Rattus norvegicus: one gene and its partners. The protein of the gene in region 3 interacts with the protein of the main gene of each other region in a pairwise test. Links are inferred from orthologs where the notes say so. Each region holds a gene or a part of one and is shown on either strand. Other genes may lie near its edges.

Region 1 (7,070 bases), on a different chromosome or scaffold from region 3:
GTGAAATACATTTTCAGAAATAAGCATTATGGAATCAACATAGTAAAATAAATTTAAAGTAATAGAGTCACGTGCTGCAGGATCTTTGATCATTCTATGAACCCCAAGATTGTGTTGTTTCCTGAAAAACAAAACAAAACAGTTTCTAGTTGTGGTATGGCCCAGCTCGCGCGCACGCACACCTTTGTTCCCAATGGCTGGAATAAAGCATACATACACACCCTTAATACACACCTTTAATCCCAAACCAAGGTAAAGTTAGAAGTATAGAAGGAAGCACCCATGTTTGAAAATAATATCTGGGGGGCTGGAGAGATGGCTCAGTGGTTAAGAGCACTGACTGCTCTTCCAGAGGTCCTGAGTTCAATTCCCAGCAACCACATGGTAGCTCACAACCATCTGTAATGGAATCTGATGCCCTCTTCTGGTGTGTCTGAAGACAGCTACAGTGTACTCATATACAAAATAAATAAATCTTTAAAAAAAAAAAGAAAATGATATCTGATTGAGTGGCCGACAAGGTGACGAATTGGAGAAAGACTTGACAGAATAGAATATACCCTACTCTAATGAGGAGAGAAAAAGGAAGCTACTTAAGGGGCAGTGCAGAGAGAAAAGAAGATGTAGTTTTACAGACAGGTTGAAGAAAGAACAAGCTAAACACAGTTAAAGACAGAGGGAGCCAGAAGATTAGAACATATTGCCATAACATAAGTTAGTATGAGGTCAAGCAGAGCAACTCAGAAGCTGAGAAGCCAGACTGAATCAGTCAGCATGGTGAGCCAGAAGAGCTGAGCTGACCAGCTGGAGCTCAGAAAGAACTAGAAAGGGTGAGCTTATTCAGCAGCAAGTCTCAGAGGCTGAGAACATTCTAGATCTAGGTAAGACTGTATACAGGCTGGAAGCTTCCCGAACTAGGCCTAGGTTAGCAGATGGACGCAGTAAGCCTTGGAGAAGACAGCTACATCAGGCAAATAAAAGTTATTACGGGGGCTGGAGAGATGGCTCAGTGGTTAAGAGCACTGACTGCTCTTCCAGAGGTTCTGAGTTCAAATCCCAGCAACCACATGGTGGCTCACAACCATCTGTAATGAGCTCTGATGCCCTCTTCTGGTGTGTCTGAAGACAGCTACAGTATACTTCTATATAATTACACAATAAATAAATAAATATTTAAAAAAGTTATTACGGTCACAGCTTATTATGAAAAGGAAAAACACTGACTCCCCAAAGCAGGAGTGGGCTGATGAGCTGGGGAAATAGGCTTGAAGGCATATTCTCAAACAATGTGATGAGTACAGATAGTGGGACATGTTCTTAGGAACTTTAGGGAGGCCTCACATCCATAACACAGCTAAGGATTGCCTTACTCTTGTGATCTTCCTTCCTGTATTTCAAGTGTTGGGATCACAGGCATCACCAGATCTGACAGCCCTCTGTTCTTAATATTTAATATTATTTAAAAAGTTAAAGACCAAGAGGGTATGGTGGCACATGCCTTTAATCCCAGTACTCTGGTGGGGCAGGAAGATCCTTGTGAGATCTAGGACAGCTAGAAATACATAGTGAGACCCTGTCTCAAAACCAAAATGCCCCCCATCCCGCCACCAAAGAAAAAAAAGAAAAGACCAATGGGAACTAGAGAGATGGATCATGGATAAGTGTTAAGAGAGCTTCCAGCTTTTGTAGAGGTTAGTTCCCAGCACTTAACAACTGCCTGTAATTCCAGCTCTACCGAATCTCATGCTCTCTTCTGGCCTCCATGAGCAACAGCCCACATGTTCCAACCATACACACACACACACACACACACACACACACACACACACACACACAGAGAGAGAGAGAGAGAGAGAGAGAGAGAGAGAGAGAGAGAGAGAGAGAGAAGGGGGGGCAGGGAGAGAGAGAGAAGAGACCTTAAGGAAAGAAGAAGGAAGAAATGACCAGAGCACTTCGGGTGTTGAAGGAAGTTCTGTACGCTACCTTGCTTGTTGCTTGTTCTATTTTCCTGGTCAGACTGAGGAGGAGTCTTTTCCTTCAGAACCCTCAGCAGTGAGTTTAAACGAGAATGCATCAGCATTATCTTCTCTTTCAGCTGAGGAGAGACACAGATTGAGGACATCTTATACTCAACCCTTGATTTGCTGCTTATAATGTTACCAGACTTAAAATAAAACAAATCTAAAAACAAAACAAAACCAAACACACTTAAAAATTGCCTGTATTAAGGGAATGGATATAGCTTAGTTCTAGGAGAGCCTGTTCTACATAGTTAATTGAGACAAGTGACAAATACATAGTAAAAATCCTGTCTCCAAAAGGGAAACCCAAAATGAAAATGCTGTGTACGTAAGTAACTATACAACCAGGTTTACCTCTGCAATCTTTTCTGGTAAAGGTACATTGTAAATATCCATCTCAGATGTATTTACTATGGCCTTTGTTTTTAACAGATAGCTAGAGAGAAAATATATAGAGAAAATATTAGTACCATTACCAATGGACCAAACTTGCCCTCTAAAATATCTGTTGAGTAAAACCTTCCTTATGGTTTGAAGCAGCATGGTGTATTTTACTGGAAAAAAAAATATCAATTAAAACCACAAACTCTGCTTGAACCTTTGCCATTCTCAGTAACAAAACTGTCTCAGGAAAAACTAAAGACAATCCAGAATCAGATGGATAACCATCATTGGTAAAAGTTTACAACTTTTACCCTGCAGTACGGTGCAGCCTTGACGCCATCACTTTGAAGGAATGGCAGGTGGGCCTCTGGGAATTGAAAGCTGGCCAGGACTAGATGGGGAGTTCCAGGTCAGCCAGGGATATTAGAGACCCTGTCTCAAAACAAAATAAAACACAAAATGAGAAGGAAAAAAAAATAAGAGGATGCTTTTTAATGCTTATTTTTCTTTTTAAATATAATTCTAAATAACAATAACTTAGGGGGAAAAAAAGAAGCCAGGCATTATGATTTATGTCTTTAATTCATCAGGGTTCTCTAGAGAAAAAGAATTTACAGAATCAATAATGTCTCTTTATATATACATTGTAATTTTATACCAGTCAGGCCAAAGAGCCAGACCTACTCAAAGCAAACAAGCAAAAAAACAACAAACAAACAAACAAACAAACAAAGACATGAAAAGGAAGTAGAAATTTACAGTATGTTTGTTATTTAAGTATAATGCCAGGACACTGTTGGAAGTTGCGTGAATAACAGGAAAGCCAAGTGGCCACTAATGGTCTCAGAGTTAAAGGAGACTTTCTTATAAATGTTGTTTTGGCTTACATAAATCACTACAAACATCTAAGTACATTAAAATATGTTAGTATTACATTATTGTTTGTTTGTTTTTCAAAACAGCATTTCCCTTTGTAGTCTTGGCAATCTGGAACTCACTCTGTGGACTGGGCTAGCTTTGAACTCAGAGAGCCACTTGCCCCTGCCTCCTGAGTGCTGAAATTAATGGCATGTGCCACCATGTCTGGCTAAGTAATCTTAACTTCTGAGCCATTTCTCCATTCTTTCAGTTTCTTGTAATAAAATATCTTAGATTAAATGTTTAATTAGTAAGGAAGATTATCTGTGAACACAGAAACTGTGTACTAGAAAAACCTGTTTCTGGTTGTGGTGTGGCTCAGCCTTAGCACACACCTTTAATCCGAGAGCTGTTTATTGTAAGCAAAGTCTGAGTAAAGTAACTGCAGATCAAGACGTGCAGCAAGCAACCATTGACAGGAAGCGAACATAGGAAAAACCCATAGAGTCAGAGCAGGGGTCAGCAGGACAGATAGAGAGAACAGGAGTGGTGGCTCACACTGTTAATCCTAGCACTCCAGACACAGTTTGAGACAGTGAGTTTGAGGCCAGCCTGGTCTAAAAGCAAGCCCAAGCAGCCAGGGCTATTACACAAAGAAACCCTATCTTGAAAAACAAAAAACCCAATAAAACAAGAAAAAAAATTGAGAGAAAGCAACCTAAGCACTGGCATTTGTCTTTCTGCTTCCTGCTGCTGATACAGCATGACCAGCATCTCCTCCATGGACTTCCCACTGTGATGGACTGTGCCTTCAAACTGAGCCACAAGAAGCCCTCCTTTCCTGAGCTTGCTTTTGTCAGGTATTTTGTCTTGTCATGAAACAAGTAACCAACACAGGCCTTATTTCAAACTCCTGGGGTAGAAAATCTGATTGGCTTCCTTGGGATGGAGATATATAAAATCTCCAAGTTGTCTATATTGACACTATTTTGCAAAAGCATACCTTCCAGAATTTTCCTTAATGAAAGAACATTCTTAAATTAATCCATATTAAGACACAGTACAATAAACCATCTAAAATAATATTTATTTAAAAATTATATTTTATCCCTATGCAAGTATATATTATAATAAATAGTGCCTGACCTTTTGTATCTTCTTTGGTTATAAACACCTGGACTTTCCTAGCATCTTTTAAAAACCTTATTTAATAAGTAATGTCTCTACTCACCACAGCATTTTATCACAAGAAAGGCAGAAATGGCCTCTCAAGGCAGCCAGAGCAGCACGGGTAGAATATAAATGGAAACCAACAGGAGTCCCACAGGAGTTACAGAATAAAAGGTTGTATGTGCTGGTGGGAAAGGAAAGAAGCAGAATATAAAATAATGAAAAGCTAAAAGAGAAATAAAAATAACTACCCTCATCAGGTATAGTGTTGGTATCTGTTACTCTAACACCCAGAAGCATAGGCAGGAGGAACTCAAGTTCATCGACCTGATGGACTTCATCAAGTTCACTGGCTCCCAAGGACAGCCTGGGCCATATAAGACTCTTGTTTGAAAGAAACAAAAACAAAGAACATAATTTTTGACCAAAAACAAACTAAAAACTTTTAAAACAAAACAATACAATCCTCAAAACTAATTTTGGTACTGTCTCTGACCACTTGTGTAATTCATGGCTCCCTACCTAATAAAGAAATTTACTACTGTCCTTAAGATGTTTTGGGTTTTTTACTCCCTTATAGTCAGTTAGCATCATATAGCTTGCTAGGCCACTGGATCATGAACACCAAAGGACTTAAGGCAGTTACTTCCAATATATATTGAAAATACAATTGTTTCTCCATTTCCTTATATAGAATAAGGTCGATTAGGTTTTAATTTGTATTCATTATAAAAGTCTGTCAGTCTGGAAGACAACAGGACATAATATCAGGCAGTGGAGTGGAATAAAGATTTTTCTTCACTGTCACTCATTCCTTAAGTGCTGGGATTAAAGGCACCACCATGCCTGGCCAAAACTTTAAGTACCAATAGACTGTAATCCAAAAAAACTTTTTGAAATAATTTATAATAAGTGTTGTGTCACATACAATACAATCTAACAATCAACTACTGAGTTCAAAGATAGTAAAGAATGTATCTCAAGACCTCAAGTTTACTAGTGAAAACGACCATTTACCTCAGTTAGGATACACACAAGCAGAACCACACAGTGGGGAAGTCAGGGCTGCACTAACAGCAGGGAAAGGTACCTACAACCAAGCTTGACAGTGTGATCCTGGGTCTGGACTCCTCAAAGGTGTCCTCTCACCCTCATTAGTGTACCTTGGCATGTGACTACACAATACACACACTAAATAAATAAAGGTAATAAAACTATTTTTAGATTATAATGTGGAACAGAAATCTCATTCTCTTCTTTTAACTTGTATGCATTTTTGAAGTATTTATTATAGATCAACTCTAGCACCTAATACAAGATAAGCAAACATAGTACTTCTAAGCTATAGCACATCTCCAAATGTATGATTAAGTTTTTGTTTGTTTTTCTCAGACAGGGTTCCTTTGTGAACCCTTGGCTGTCCTGGAACTAGCTCTGTAGACCAGGCTGCCCTTGAACTCACAGAGACCCTCTGCCTCCCTAGGGCTGTGTTAAAAGTCGTGTCCTACCACCACCAGGCTTATAATTACAGTTTTTAATCAGGCTTTTTAAAAAGATTTTGGGTGTAGGTTCTGATGCTTGTGATCCAACACTTGTTGGCAGAAGCAGAACTGTAAGGTCAAGGTAAGACCATTACTACCAATATCAAAAGTAAAAGAATTTGTGATGTAACTAGATCAAAAGTGTCACTTCAGGGCCAGTGAAATGACTCAGTGGGGAAAGGCACTTGCTACCAACCCTGAGACACGGAGCTTAATCCTTCCATCCAGCATGGTGAAGGCAAGACTGCTTCCGGTTACCTCCGGGCCTACATATGCATGCTCCCATCGCATACGCAAACATATTCACACAAAAAAAGTTTTCAATGTAGGAGGATCACAAGCTTTAGGCCAGCTTAGGTGACATAGTGAGTTCCTGGCTAGTGAGGTTATTGAGTGAGAGAGCCTATCTCAACCCCTACCCCTAAATGCTTCTGAAATACTGTATGAATTCAAAGTATTCTCAATTCAACAATGTCCACATCCTAATGGTCCATTACAGCTGGTAGTGGTTACAGTACTGGACACATGTGACCATCTACATCAATTCTGAGTACTTCTGCCTCTTGCTCCAAACAACTTCAATAGAAACAGGCCACTCCTTCCTGGTCCCCTTTGAGAGAAGGAATTCCTATAAGGATAGGAATGTGTCTTTAGTTTGGCAAAGTTGAATGGAGGTATGGCTACAACTTAGCTTGGCCTCACTCTAAGCCCGAGTTCACTGAGTACTTTATTGCTATAGGAAAAACATTAACAAACAAAGATGCAGAGTTTTCTATAGATTACTACAGAATTAGTCTTGTCGTGATTTATATTATGTTTATATATTTACATTATAAGCTCCAAGTTAAATAGTCCTAGTTATCTCACAGACCTTAAGACCTACCCCCAACTTTAACTTTCATTAAAGCCAGGTTAATATGACTGAAACGGGTAAAGAGTTTATCTTTCAAACATACTGTATGGAGAGAGTAAACATGCCACAACACAAAGTTTCTTTCTTGTTTACAACAGTTACGTACTCTTGACCATCATTAAATCCGGAACAATACAGATCCACCTCAGGAATTCTCCACACGTACCTGGATTTGAGAGAACC
Region 2 (7,178 bases), on a different chromosome or scaffold from region 3:
CCCCTGAATATTTGAAGGAGTCACCTTATTGCCCACGTGTGGCTCCCGCTTGTCTCCTCAGAGCCTTCTTAGCAGGGAACGAGCCCTCAGCTCCTTGTCTTGCAGCCCTCAACTCTACCACCCTACTTCCAAAGGCTTCAGCTCTTTTTTTTTTTTTTTTGTGAGTCCAGGTTTGGTCAAATTTTTGAGGCACCAAAAATGAAAGAGTGGACGGGCTTTCCACCTTGCTGGCCAGTGAGGCCCAGCTCTTTTGTGCAGCACCCCAGATACTTCTCTGATGTCTAATAGACCCGAGTCTATTTGCTACAACACCTCCACCGTTGATCTTCCCCGCTTTCCGCTGCTCCTGCTTCCTACCGAGCGTCTCCGGGCTGAATCCGGAGTGCTTAGGCCTGGCCCGTCTATGGCTGGTTCCAGTTAGAGACAGAATTACGGCTTTCCTCCCGCCTCACCTCAGCCCTCCCCGGAAAACATATCCAGAAAAAAGATGGTACAAAAAGCAGACCCGCACAACGTAAAAGAATCAATATATTTTATTTGGCAAAAGTTAAATATCTTGACACAACAATTTGGTCAGTAGGCCTTGAGGTAACTATTGCAAAATATACAGTGTATGTTCAGTCCGATGGAAACCCCAAATTCACCAAGGATACAAATCTACAGTAGCCCAATAGCGTTTTCATGGTGTATAATTTATTATCAATAAAATTAACTCCATTACAGTAAGCACTCACTTTCCCCTAATTAAAATTAAGCATAAACCATAGGTAGTAACCCTCTGCACATGTGTATAGCTCCGAATTTCCTCACTTCTCCTCTGGTGCAAAAACAATCTTCAAGCTTTCTGATCATGGATATTTCTTTAATGTGGAGATCCTATATACATTGGACAAAACTGGAATCTAGAACGTGTAAAGATGGAAAAAAAAACCCACATTTCAAAAGCAGATAAATCAGGAATCTATGCATCCTGGAGAACTACCTCCCTTTTCTTTCCAAGTTTGATTTCACTGGGAAATCCTTACAGCTAGTTTACAGTTGTAGGTTAACAGTCTAGTTACACAGAAGACGTATCCCACTACAGAGCTATACTCTATGCGACAGCTTCTCTTCCCCCATAAACAACCTGAGTTCAAATTGAATTCTAGCATCCACAATCACAATGGGCACTTCACCCAGCACAGAAGTTTGAGTCACAAAACATAATTACCACAATAAAACACAGTGTTCAAGTATTTTGGCAGAATGCTCTGCCACACGAAGAGCAAATTAAATTAGCTACAGAGACTAAAAACTATACAGCCAGTCATCAACAGTTGTGCATTATATAAAAAGGTAGTTTTCTTTCCTTTTGCTTAAAGTCGGAAGCAGGTAGATTTTTTTTAAATATATATATATACAAGCTAGCACATACAGACAACAGCGCTAATGCCCTCCCTTGTGTGTGTGCCTTCTAGAAAACGGAAAGCTTACAATACCTCCTCCATTAAAGCCGAAGGCCTAGGACCCAGCCTGAGCAGGGACTGCCAGGGAGACATGAGGCCTGGGATTTAGAGCCCCTTTGTGCGGGTGGTGGAGGCTGGGTTTGGGAGAGGGGAGAGAAAGGGAGACAGACAGTCCTTTCTTTTTCTTTCTAGCTTGCTCTCTTTTTTTTTAAACGAGCCCCCCAAAGGCTCACTCGTCTTTTGCTCGGTCCTTGTTGATCTTCTTCATTTTCATCCTGCGGTTCTGGAACCAGATCTTGACCTGCCTTTCGGTGAGGTTGAGTAGCCGGGCCACTTCGTACCTGCGGTCCCGTGTGAGGTACATGTTGAACAGAAATTCTTTCTCCAGTTCCAGCGTCTGGTGTTTTGTGTAGGGACACCGCTTCTTCCGAGTGGAGCGAGCATGTAGCCAGTTGGCGGCCGGGTTATCTGTGGAGGGAGAGAGACACGGGGTTTAGAAGGAGAAGGGTCCCGGGTGGGTCTGAAGGAGCCTCTTGGGGGTCTCTGGTCGAAGTGCAGGATGCGGCTGAATTGGTTAGAGAAAACACAATGAAGCCCTAGCAGACAGACCCACGGAGGGTCACAACAGCGCCGGGAAAGTCTCAGTTCCCCCTACCATCCCCACCCTCCTTTCGCCTCTCCTGTCTCCTCCTCTTCTTCTTTCCACAGTCTGCATATTGTGAAAGGGTGAAATTTGGAAACCATTTTTTCTTTCTTTTTCTTTTTCTTTTTCTTCCTTCCTTCCTTCCTTCCTTTCTTTCTTTCTTTCTTTCTTTCTTTCTTTCTTTCTTTCTTTCTTTCTTTCTTTCTTTCTTTCTTTCTTTTGCCAGTAAAGAGCAAGCTATCCTGAGTTCTTGTGGCAAGATTAATCTCTCTCTCTCTCTCTCTCTCTCTCTCTCTCTCTCTCTCTCTCTCTCTCTCTCCCCTCCCCCCCTTTCCCCAGCTTCCTCGCAACTGCCCCCACTCTTTATTTGACCTTCCCGGAAGGCCGTGGGAACTACGCGGGAGGCAGGATGCCCCAGGGCCTTTGATCAGGGCTCCACTTTATTTGAATAAATCTGGCAAAGGGACCCTCGTGGTTCCAAAGCCCGTAGCCTCATCTTGGGCAGGATTTCCGCCGCCACCGGCCGAAAGCAAGAAATGGAGGGAATCGGAGGTCTCCCCAAGCGTCCCGGGTCAGATTGCCCGGCTGACGTCGCTGCCACAGTTCGTGCACAATCTAGCCGCACAAAAGACTTCTCTGCGCTGCTTTCGAAGAACCGCCCAAAGTCTGTCTGTCCTAGGCCTGGGCAGCTTAGGAGAGGGGCGGCGGGTCTCGGCTCCACTCGCTCGCCCGCCCCGCCCCCTCGTACTGCAGTATCCTCCTCCCTTTCCCCTAGCTGGCCCGGCCTGATCCACACGGTTCTCTGGACTTGGGGCCCCTATCAGAGGTGTTCCAAACACCAACTTCTGGTTCTCGGGCCCTAGATTCAGAGGCACCCATCGAGAACGAAGGCAGGCTCGAGAGAAAGCTGATGCGCTGGTAGATCCTGGTGGCCTGCGTGGAGGCAGCGGCCGATTTGCAGGAAGGAGACACTTACTGGGATCGATGGGGGGCTTGTCTCCACCGCTCTCATTCTCGGCATTGTTTTCGGAGAAGGCGCCTTCGCTGGGTTGTTTTTCTCTATCAACTGGAGGAGAACCACAAGCATAGTCAGTCAGGGACAAAGTGTGAGTGTCAAGCGTGGGACAGTCACCCCTTCTGGCCGACAGCGGTTCAGGTTTAATGCCATAAGGCCGGCTGGAGGGTAAGCCCGCGAAGGAGAGCGCACCCGGCGTGGGCTCCAGCCAGGAGCGCATGTACCTGCCGTCCGGCGCCGCCGCCGCCACGGGCGCCTGGGGGTGCACGTAGGGGTGGTGGTGGTGGTGATACACCGCAGCAGGCACCGCATTGGCGCCTGCCGCGTGCACTGGGTTCCACGAGGCACCGAACACCGCCGCCTTGGACTGGAAGCTGCAAGGGCTGAAGTCGGGGTGTTCGGCCAGCGCTGCCGCCTGCCTTTGGGGTTGGCCCAGGGCCCCTGGAGCGTAGCGTCCCGCACCCAGCTCGTCCGCAGCGTCAGCGCCTAGCAGGAAGGAGTCCACATAGTAGTTGCCCAGGGCCCCGGTGGTAGCCATCGCAGTAGCCCGCGCCTGGCCGGCCCAGCCCGACCCGCCGAAATTATGAAACTGCAGATTTCATGTAACAACTTGGTGGCACCAGGGGGGGTGAAGTACAGTCACCTAATAAGTTGCCGGCGCCCGCGCCCCCATTGGCCACGCGCGTCACGTGTCCGCCCAGCAGAACAATAACGCGTAAATCACTCCGCACGCTATTAATGGCCCGGTGTTTTGCAGTCATAATTTTTATAGCAAAAGCCATATGTTTTTATGCAAAGGGATCGCGCAGCTCCACGATCTGGTTTGTTTTAATTGTGGCCAACGAAGATTAAAAGATCAAATCTGGCCTTGCCTCGGTACTCTTCCTTGCCACCCCCTCTACACACACACACACACACAAACACACACACACACACACATACCAGACACACACACTTCTTAAGCGGACTATTTTATATCACAATTAATCACGCCATCAGGAAGGCGCGGGTCCCGCGTGCGAGCACGGCCAGCAGAGCCCCTCACATAAAATTAGACAATAATTGAAGCCATAAAAAAGCAGCCAAATCGCATTCTCACTCCACTGTATTTAAATCTATATTTATGATATTTCATAAGGAGTTATTGTTTCGGAAGCCACACAGGCTGGTGGAAAGTCAGGAACGACCAACAGATTCGTTTGCCTCGCTGCGGCTCCCTGTAAAAATTTATGGGGACTTGGAAAGGTTAAATTAGACTGTTGTGTTTGGTTGGTGAGCGCCCTGTAAATAATTCTTGCAGTCCTCAGAGATGTGAGCCCCCTCCCGCACCCCCTCCAGGCCCCGGCCCCAGGCCGGCCTCGAAAAGTCAAATACAAGGCTCTCTCCACCTCAAACAGTGTGACCACCGCCCTTGTCGCGATGCACCATCGATGATACCACCAACCTAAAATGCGCTACTGACCCTAGTTAGATTGGAAAGCCAGCCAGGCGCTTGCACAGCACCCAGATCACCCTTGCTCCACAAGGGAAGGCTCCACAGAGGAACTGCCAAGGAGAGGACTGCCAGCTACCCTCTAAGGTTTGTGTCACAAACGCCCTGCTGTGTCACAAGCGCCACGGCCCACATCTTTGAGCACAAAATGCTCCACGAATTTTCTTCCCTATCCAGCCGGTTCTAAGCTCCATCATCCATATGCCTAGTCACTATCAGTACCAGAGGAGTTCGTCTTGCTGAGGGCTCGCCTCTCCTAAAAGAGGAGCACGGGCACTTAAAATGGCCATCTCTGGGCCCTGTATGAACCTCCCTGGGATCCTTCCCTCCTCTGTTCTTTCTTCTCATTCCTCTCCCACCCCACTTCTCTCCCTTCCTTCCTTTTGCTTCCCTTCCATTCCCTTTTCCCTTCTTTCCGTCCTTCCCTCTCCCTTTTCTTTTTCTTTTCCCCTCTCTATCTCCAGCAACCCTGCCTTGGTTATCCATGAAACAGAACAACAGAGATCCAAGAGCCAACACTAGAGGACTGCAGCTCAAGTCCAGTGCTACAGAGGAACCCAGGAGGAGCACTGGACATTGACTTTAATCTCATCCTTTGGACAAATGGAGGATGTTGTTTTTCACCCTTAGAATTTTGGGGGATGAGGAAAAAAGTGAAAAGGCCACAGTCACTGTTGCTAATGGGAGGGATGGTGGCCCCATCCCAATCTGGAACACAAAGCATCAAACTCCTAGGAGCTGTGTAATTAAATTCACGTGTGGATTCTGTGCCCTCCAAGAGTATGTTTCTCATTACTTCACTTCGCTATCCACAAAACTGCTGGCTGGAGACATTTCCACCTTTGTTTTTACTTTCTTTCTCAGAAATAGTTCAAGTAAACACTTTCCAACACTGGCGGATTCCTGTCTCAGGAGACAAAGATCCCCCCAAAATATTAGGCTCTACACCAAAGAGGGGCTGTGAAGCTCTCTGGGAATACAGACTCCCTCCTTTGCTCGTAGGCAGGAAGGAGAAGAAAGTGGCCAACACCAGCAACTGGATGTGGCCTGTCCTGACTGCCTCAGTCCCCTCCCCCTAATATTTTCCTTTCCCTACAAATTCCTCCAAGTCACACACACCCCAACACAGCCCAAGGTGTTCTAAATATCCGGCAGTCCTCTGAGGTTCAGGTTTTCATTAAAGCACTAATCCTGGAGCATAACTCTGCTCTTAGTTGTAAATAGTAGAGTACTCCTGGCTGGCTTTTTCACTTTTTGCATTCAGAGAAGATGTGTCACCACCACCACCACCACCATCATCATCATCGTCATCATCTTCTTCATCATATCCTTATTATTATTAATTAAAATACATTTTAAAAAACCCTGTAGTCTCCAACTAGAAAAATCACAAAGGAGCACGCATCGAGTATTAAGCAGCTGTTTATGTGTGGCCAGAAGGGGAAAAAAAATCCTAAAAGCAGATACTGTCCTTGTAAGTCTAGAAACTTGATCCTAAAGCGTACATGTTTTTATTTCTGCTTTCTTTTGGATGAGAAAGGAGTTGTATACACATCTAGAAATAATAAATGGATGAATCACACACCACCTCATTCTCAACCGAGAATCCTCCTAAAACTGTGGGCTTTGAAATAAATCCAATACCTGGATCCAGAAACCAGCAGAGAAGAATTGGGGGGAACCGGGTGGACTGGTCATTCAGATAACAGGTTGTTGACTGAGTAATGAAAACAATTCCCATGCATCAGCATGAGCCGGGAAGGGAAACAGAGTTCTGCGGTCTCGGTAGTGCCTATGTCGTTGGTGGGAAAGAGTGGTTTGTTTTCAGTCTTCTGTATTAAGAGTGGTTAGGCTGGTTTTCTTAGATTAGAATTTAGTCCAGTACCCCAGTTTGTGCCCTCCCTATTCTTGAATTGGAGGTTGTTTTCACTCACTTAAAATATATTGGAGCTGGGAAGGTCTCCTTTCTCAAACACTCAGCTGCACAAGGCCGGACATGTCTAACATTTTCTCAGTCTGATCCTGCTAGTAGCAAGCCAGCAAGTAATCAAGCCTTGGCCCCGGTGAGGCTCTTTCATCACGGTCAAAGGCCGAATTAGGGCCTGTAAAACTGGCGGAGCTGGTCAAAGCTTCCTGCTAGAGCTTTCCCAGTGGTCAGCTCCACAGAACTTAGGCAGGAATTCAGCCCGATTCCAGCTTCTGAACCAATGGAGCTGGCAAAGGGTTTCCTGCCCACGGTGTGGGCACACAAAGACGCCGCGGGTGCCCCCTCACCGGATATCTCAGGCAGCCGCTAAGGCAAGGCCGCCGCCATCCGGTCGTGATCGTAACCGAGGCCTTGTCTGCACAGAGGCCCACCAGGCCAAAAAACACGGACCTGAACAGCATCCCTTATGGACTCCTTAGAACATTCAAAACTGCACCGAGACAAAAAAGAAAAAGAAAGAAAGAAAGAAAGAAAGAAAGAAAGAAAGCTCCAAGCTTTCTCTAAGTCAACCCTTTACCCTCCAGAAGAACGATATGGAAAGGAAACGGAGAGATAGAGATGTGGACAGAAAGATGAAAGATGCAAGAAAAAGAAAA
Region 3 (7,178 bases):
AACAGAGGGGGACTGAGATCCCAGCAGGTCCTTCTTAGAGCAGTCAACAGTCGGTGGTGACGGTGGCTGAGAGCTCTTGAATGCGCCAGGCACTACAAGCCTTGCACAAGATATGCCCATCCAGCGGGTAGCAGCCTTGACACTCTCCCTCAGAGGACAGCAGCAGCCCACACTCCTGTGAGGAGAAACAAAACCTCTATTAGTCTGAGAGCTCTTCTGTGACTTTTCCCACCGTGCTTTTCTCCCAGCCTCCCAGGCTCTGCAAAGCTCTTGCTCTTGCCCGGTGACCTCTTCACCTCACACTTGTAGCAGCCAATGTGGAAACTTCTATCCAGAGCAACAATTCTCACTGTCTCCTCCTGACCTGGCTCTGGCATGATGGCCCCACCACACACTGAGCACCGTGGGGCAAATTTCCTGCAGGGGAGGGGAACCAAAGAGGCTGTCAGATCCCTCCCTCCCAACCCCTCAAGAGGCTCATAATGGAGCCCAATAAGAGTGGAAGGGGCTGGGGGGTAGGAGGGTGTGTGAGAGAAGGATCTAAGAGATGTGTTTCGGTCTTGGGGAAGAAAGTAATGTCAAAAAAAAAAAAGAGAATGAAAAGATAGAAAAAGAAGAGGCAGACCCTGGGACATGAAGAGATAGGTCAGAGCAGGCATTCTGAGACCTGTGGAAATCTTCAATGCAGTGGATCTGGCTGGTGGCATCCACTGTGAAAGGGATGCCATCGAGGCCACGGTGGCACACCACACAGGTGAAGCAACCAGGATGGTAAGCCTTCCCCATAGCCCTCAGGATTCGGTCCAGGATGGGTTCAGAGCATGTGGAACATTTCTCCAGTGTGGCCTAATAGGAAAGAGGAAGGAAGGTCAGGGGGAAAAGCCACTCCAGCCAGGAAGGCGTACTCTCTGCCCAACCACGTGGTGTGTGTAGTTCCCCGCAGAGCATTCAGTGGAAGGTGGACTTAGCATTTCTGAGGTTTCATACGGGCACTGAAGCCTCTAGACAAGGAATCTGGTCTCCGCACACTTCCTCTTTCAGTGAGATGAGTCAGTAGTGCTTGCCTCTGAGGAATGCTGTGAGGCTTTTACAAATTACCTCAACTCTAAAATGCCTTCTAGCTGGGCACACATCTGGTTTCTCAGCTCTCGGAAGCCGAGGCAGGAAGACTGTAACTTCAGGACCAGCCTAGGCTACGTAGTGAGACTCGGTCTCAAAGGAAGGAAAGAAGGAAGGAGGGAGAAAGGGAAGGAGAGGTGGAGGAAAAGAGGGGAGGAAGGAGGGAAAGAGGGAAGGAGGGAAGGAGGGAAGGAAGGAAGGTGGCCACCCACTTAGACAGCACGAGCTGTTCCTCCTCTCCTTCAGCTCGTGTCCACATTTAACTCATTCCTTAATCTGGGGTTGTAGCTCAGTTGGTAAAGTGTTTGTCCGGCATGCAAGAGCCCTGGGTTCCATTCCTAACACCACAAAGAACAGATCTGGTGGCCCACACCTGGAATCCCCATACCCAAGGTCTTCCTTAGCTATAAATACCTAAGAGTTTCAGGCCAGCCTGGGACACACGACGTATTATCTCAAAACGACAAACAGGCAATCCAAGAAACAAAACGCAAAGTGTTCTTTTGGTTGATGGATCAATCGATCTTCGGAAACCTGTGCCTTGGGCTGGCTTCCAACCCGCTTCCGTAGCCCATGTTCTCCTCCAGACAGGCCTGAGCCACCATACTTAGTTCATTGTACCTCAGCTTGAATCTCCAGCTTCCAGGCCCACCCAGCTGAGTACCTGGCCCTCTCTTGGATAGAAACCTGCCTGTCAAATCTTGACACTCCCAATTTGGCAACACCCTCTCACAGCCCAACCGCTCACCACATAGCAGCTCTCACAATACGCCCGCCTCTCCACGGCATAGAAGTGCTGGCCTCGGAGCTGGGCCCGACAGGTAGAACACACGAAGCAACCAGTATGGAAGACACGGTCCAGGGCCACAACCCCAGCTCCATCACCAACCACATCGTCGCCACAGCCACCACACCGACCTGGGGACAGAGGGGAACAAGATCAGTCTCCACAGACCCAGGACACCGGATCCACTGTCCCCTCCCCGTCCCATCCTACCCAGCGGGTCAGCTCACCAAAGTACTCCCCACTGGGCGGGTGGTTCATGTCATGCACCAACTTCTTGGTCAGTCTCTCCAGCTCCTCCTCTGGAGGCTGGCTCAAGGGGCCCTACAGGGAGAAACAGGGCTTTGCAGTGCTGCTTCGACCTCACACACCGTAAGTAACCCACAAGCTCAGGAACCCTGAAATTTCCTCTGAGAATATCTCCCAGGCTGACAAGGGAAGGAAGCCCCTTCCCTTTGGACATCGTAATCCTTGACCTCTAAGTACCCTAAAACCACAACTGACTTATATTTATTTTTAAGAGCGTGTCTCATATGGCCTAGGCTGGCCTTGGACTCATTATGTAGCCAAATATCTTAATTTACTGATCCTCCTGCCTCTACCTCCCCCATGCTTTGTTTATACAGTGCTGGGTCTAGAACCTTGGGATTCCTACATAATAAAAAAGGACTCTACCGGGGTTGGGGATTTAGCTCAGTGGTAGAGCGCTTGCCTAGCAAACGCAAGGCCCTGGGTTTGGTCCCCAGCTCCGAAAAAAAGAAAAAAAAAAAAAAAAAAAAAAAAAAGGACTCTACCAACTCTCTACCAACTGAACTGCGTCTCCTAAAAACGGTATCTTAATCCCTCAGCCTCCACACCACCTAACCAACGGCCAGTTACCTACAATGACCAGGTACCACCGTGCCCACACCCCCTGGCTTACCTGAGGCTCATGCCCACCTCTTCTTCCTCCTCCTGCAGGGTTATGAACTCCAGCAGCTCCCTCCTTAACCCCTGGTCCTGGCTCTCGGTGGCTCCTATAGCCAGCTCCCCAGACTTCACCACGACCTGTCAGAGGAAAGTGGGGGCCTGGAAGAGGTCCAGAGGCCTGCGAAGCCCCCCGCCTGGGCAGTCCACAGCCTCTCACGGGTTGAGCCACCTTCACTTGAACAGGGAAAGCAGGACCAGCTGGAGTGCTCGCGGTAGCATAAGAGGCTGGAGTAGGTCCACCATAGGGAGATGCTGGGAGCATCGGGGCTGGAACAGCACCTCCGCTGGGTTTCAGGGAGCCTCCACGGTAAGCATGGGGTGGAGGAGCCTCAAAAGCCTGGGAAGACAAACAATGCACAAACAGTAAGGCCAGATCCAAGATCCATGCGCGCCAGGTGGAATCTCGGGAGCCATGACTTTTGTCAAGTTCCCATGGGTTAGGCCTAACAAGAAGGAAGTTCATGATTCCTTGAACCAGTTATTTATTAGTTGCAAAGAGGGTGGGCGGAGAGTGAAGAGGGCGGACTGAGGCTGAGAATCTACAAAAGAGAATCGGCTGACACAGGAGAGACAGAACACAGGAGATCACCTGTCTGTCTGGTCGCCTAGGTGCATGACTGCGACTCCCGTCCAGATCAGCCAGCATGCTGGTGAGCGAATCTATCTCAGCGTCCAGACTTCCAGGGTGGATGACTCCCCGGTCTGGAGGGAGCCCCTGAGACAGAGCCAAAACAGGAAGAACAAATACCGATCACAACCCCTACCTAGCCTTCTCTCACCTTGATCCTACCCTCACCTCCAATTCTCACCTGCAGGCGCTGGGCTGCTCCATGGGATCCCACCCAAGTAGGCCCCCGATCTTCCGGTACCCCCGGAGGCTGATAACATTGTTCAGGTGGGAGGGGGCAAAAGTTGACCCTGGGGTGAGGCTGGAGCGCTAAAGGGGGAGACGGGAGGTGAGAGCGGAGAAGGGTACCCTGGTTAAAGCCGCCTTTCTCAGGCAGCTCTCCTTCACGTACCTGGGAGTCTGGGGATGGACCAAGAGTTAGGGAAACTTGCACAAGAGCAAGGGACTCTGGCTTGGGGAAGGGACAGCAGGAAGCAGATAGGCAAGGAAGAAAAGGTTAAGGAAAGTGGCCAATGGCTCTTCTGCCACTCCCGGGTGTGGGAAAGGGGAACACTTACTTGCTCCATGGGCCGTTGGCGGACCCAGGGTTCCTCTGGGCAGCGCTCTCCCCTGAGGGACTCTGGAGGGCTCTGGCTGCTTCGGGGGAAGCCAGGTGGGCCCGGACATGGTCTGGAATAGGGTTGCTCCACTCCAGACAGAGGTCAGGACCCCCACAAGCCCAGCGGCCGGGCCCTTGAGCCCCTTCCCTCCCTTTCGGCCCCACGCCCCGTTTGGGACTCCAGCAAAGAAACTTTTTCTGGCTTTTTTTTTCTTCCCTTCCTCCCCAATTTTGGAGAGGACCACGCCCCCTGACGTCACCACATTCCTGGTGAGGGTCACGTGGTCCCCCAAGCCTTATTCTACGATTCTTCCTTTCTCTGGCCCCCTCCTGTTAAGTGAGGACCGCCCTCCTCCGGAGCCAAGCCTAGGGTGGGCTGCAGGCCTCTCCGAGAGGCTCTGGTCCAGCAATTCTCTCAGATCCCTGCCCCAGTCCTGCACGTGGCAGCCTCTTGGCCGGGACTCTGAAAGTCTCCACCCCCTCATAGATCTCTCCCTTCCCACCCGGCTCCCTCTCATCTACCCACCAGCAGTGCTCCACCAGCCCATAGTGTTTTGGTCTTTTATTTATGGTCAGTAGTTAGAAAAATAAAACAAAACACAAACATCACCACCCAAGGAAGTCGGGGAGAGGGAGGTGGTGCGTCTGTGGCCAGGATGGGGACACTGAGGTAGCCTAGAGTCACAGAAGAGACCAGCCCCTCTGGTCAAGGCACCAGTGAAGGAAGCGTAGGCAGACCAGGAACAGGGCCGCAATGTCCTCCCCTACAATGGGGCAGCCACCTAGAATTAGTGTACTATGTCCATTCGCCACCCAAAGGAGACCAGGGTCCCCTTAAAACATCATCAAAAGGGCAGGGCCCATTGGGGGCGGGGGAGGGCGTCCCTTGTTGAGAATGGGCCTGGGCCCTCTCTATCTATCCAACACTGTATGCACAGGCATCAGAGATCAGTACAGGTAACCGGAGTGACACCATGAATAAGAAGGGTGGGACCCAGATCACGGCTTAGGGTCTCCAGCAGTGCCAGGTATCTAGGGTAGCGGGCAGGATCAGCAGGAGGTCGAGGAAGATACAGGAAGGTAAGGGCTGTGGTGGGTCCCTCCTCTCCATCCCTTCCTTCTGGTCCCCCAGGGCCTCCTCCTGTGCCTCGTCCCTGCTGGGCACGCACCAGGGCATTGGCACTGCAAGCTAGAGCCTCTGCCTCTTCGTCTCCTCGACCACCATTCACAAAGTCCCCTTCCTCCTCCTCAGGCTCCCCAGCCTCAGCCCCTTCACCCCACACCACCTCTTGCACCTCTGCCCGGATCCTGAGTTGACTCAACAGGGCCCGGAGCCTTCCCTCTGCTGCCCCAGGAGCCTCTCTGGGCCCCAAGCACAGAAAGATCCGGAGCCGGGCACTGTGCCAGGCAGGCACCATGCTTAAGATGGTAGCCATCTGCAACAGAAAAAGGCCACAGACGTCCACGTATCCAGGTCCACCCCGGGGCCTCAACAGATTCAAGGGCCATACGTCCACATGATGTAGCTGAGCGCTGCTACCGGACCCCCGGCTTAGCCGCTCCGGGGGCAAAGCCCCACAAGCTCGGGCGAGAACCACATTCTTGTTCATCTTGAGAGCATCTGCCACGGTGGCCACGTAGTCCTGGGGACTGAGAGCCCTGGGGCTCCCAGGAGCCCGAGGTGGAGGGAACAGCGTGCTCAGGGCTGGCGACCCGCCCTCTCTGGTGCCCTCTGCAGGCTCAGAGAAGGCTGGGTCTGTTAGAAAATGGTCCTGGGGTGGGGCGTCATCATAAAAACCGAGCACCAACGTGTTGGGCTTCATACCGCCTAGGGGCAGAGAAGGGAGGCAGGAAGGAACAGAAATCAGGCTGAGGACTGAGTTTACACCACATAAAACTCGCCCACTCACACTTAGGTCAGCCATGAGGTATGACATCCTCCTTGGCTGAGGCCCTTACAGCAAACAGTATACACACGTTTGCACAATGAATTGGCTTTGCTAAAACACTTTCACATGCATTTATTTGACTATCTCTTGGAATAATCTCTTCCACTTTAAATAGATAAAGTTCACTTCAGGATGTCTTCCCCCCTTTGCAGGGAGTGGTACTGGAGAGTAAACCTCAATCACTAACAGCTATATTCCAAGCCCCATCTTAAATTTCCTTTAGGTTTTTGTTTGTTTGTTTATTTGTTTCAGAGGAAGGGGGGTCTGTTTGTTGACTTGCTTGATTGATTTTATCATTCTAAGGCAGGGTTTCATGATACAGCCCTGACTGGGCCGCAACTCACTATGTAGACCCAGTGAAGCACAAACTCATAGAAATCCACTTGCCTCGGTCTCCTGAGCACTGGGATTAAATGCACACACGCACGCACCCACTCACTCACTCACTCACAGTTTTTGATTTTCTAGACAAGGTCCCAGGCATCCTGGGCTTTCTTTGAACTCTAAGTGTCAGAAGGTAACCTTGAACTTCTGATCTTCCTACATCCTCCTCCAAGTGCTGGGATTCTAGGTACTCATCACCGCTGCCCCATGAAGTTCGCCGAGTGTTGGGAGGGAGCTCAGGGCTCTACCAATGAGCTCCAGCCCCAGCTCTGGGTTCTCCTAGTGCTAAGGTTGGCTGGCATCAACCACAGGCCTTAGGCAACACATCTTTTTCATGTCAGGAGAGGCCGTTTCAACCAGGCACGATGGCTCTAGCCCGTAACCCCAGCAACCAAGAGGCTGAAGCAGGAGGATGGCTCTAAGTTTGATGCCAGTCCAGGCTACTCAGTGAGTTCCACGCAGCTTAGGCTACAGAGCAAGACCTTGTCTCAACCAGAAAACAAACAAGCAAAACCCCAAAGATTCAAGTTGAACTCCACTGAGGAAATGAAATTTCTTCTATAGCCCACGCTGGCTTTGAACTTGCAGCCCTCCTGGAGTAGCTGGGAATACAGCCTGCATCACCAGGCCTGGGTGAAATAAAAATCAGAGAGCCTGACCATTCAAGTTCACGATGTCAATCTCCAGTGGAGACATCCCAGTCCTAGAAAGGGGAAGACTGGACGATAGGCTAGTCTTTACAGCTCT

Evidence for each region.
Region 1: the proteins of Trip6 (region 3) and Oip5 interact in binary tests that used the Homo sapiens proteins (3 or more experiments, as listed by UniProt). The two-hybrid records come from large-scale screens. The link is inferred for Rattus norvegicus from reciprocal best matches to the Homo sapiens genes TRIP6 and OIP5.
Region 2: the proteins of Trip6 (region 3) and Hoxa9 interact in binary tests that used the Homo sapiens proteins (3 or more experiments, as listed by UniProt). The two-hybrid records come from large-scale screens. The link is inferred for Rattus norvegicus from reciprocal best matches to the Homo sapiens genes TRIP6 and HOXA9.

Annotation. Positions count from the first base shown.
Region 1 is NC_086021.1:127,049,385-127,056,454, forward strand, and holds part of Oip5 (protein Mis18-beta), read right to left. Parts: coding exon 7,054-7,070; intron 4,618-7,053; coding exon 4,495-4,617; intron 2,458-4,494; coding exon 2,376-2,457; intron 2,096-2,375; coding exon 1,984-2,095; exon of another isoform or gene 1,983-1,983; intron 122-1,982; coding exon 90-121; 3' UTR 1-89. UniProt on the Homo sapiens protein: Required for recruitment of CENPA to centromeres and normal chromosome segregation during mitosis.
Region 2 is NC_086022.1:82,653,332-82,660,509, forward strand, and holds Hoxa9 (homeobox protein Hox-A9), read right to left. Parts: upstream 3,718-7,178; 5' UTR 3,642-3,717; coding exon 3,065-3,641; intron 1,914-3,064; coding exon 1,675-1,913; 3' UTR 516-1,674; downstream 1-515. UniProt on the Homo sapiens protein: Sequence-specific transcription factor which is part of a developmental regulatory system that provides cells with specific positional identities on the anterior-posterior axis.
Region 3 is NC_086030.1:25,020,096-25,027,273, reverse strand, and holds the start of Trip6 (thyroid receptor-interacting protein 6), read right to left. Parts: upstream 4,316-7,178; 5' UTR 4,167-4,315; coding exon 4,058-4,166; intron 3,810-4,057; coding exon 3,682-3,809; intron 3,588-3,681; coding exon 3,462-3,587; intron 3,210-3,461; coding exon 2,826-3,209; intron 2,228-2,825; coding exon 2,134-2,227; intron 2,038-2,133; coding exon 1,868-2,037; intron 847-1,867; coding exon 668-846; intron 418-667; coding exon 297-417; intron 176-296; coding exon 44-175; 3' UTR 1-43. Other genes in the region: Slc12a9 (solute carrier family 12 member 9), read right to left, coding at 5,040-5,926. UniProt on the Homo sapiens protein: Relays signals from the cell surface to the nucleus to weaken adherens junction and promote actin cytoskeleton reorganization and cell invasiveness. Involved in lysophosphatidic acid-induced cell adhesion and migration.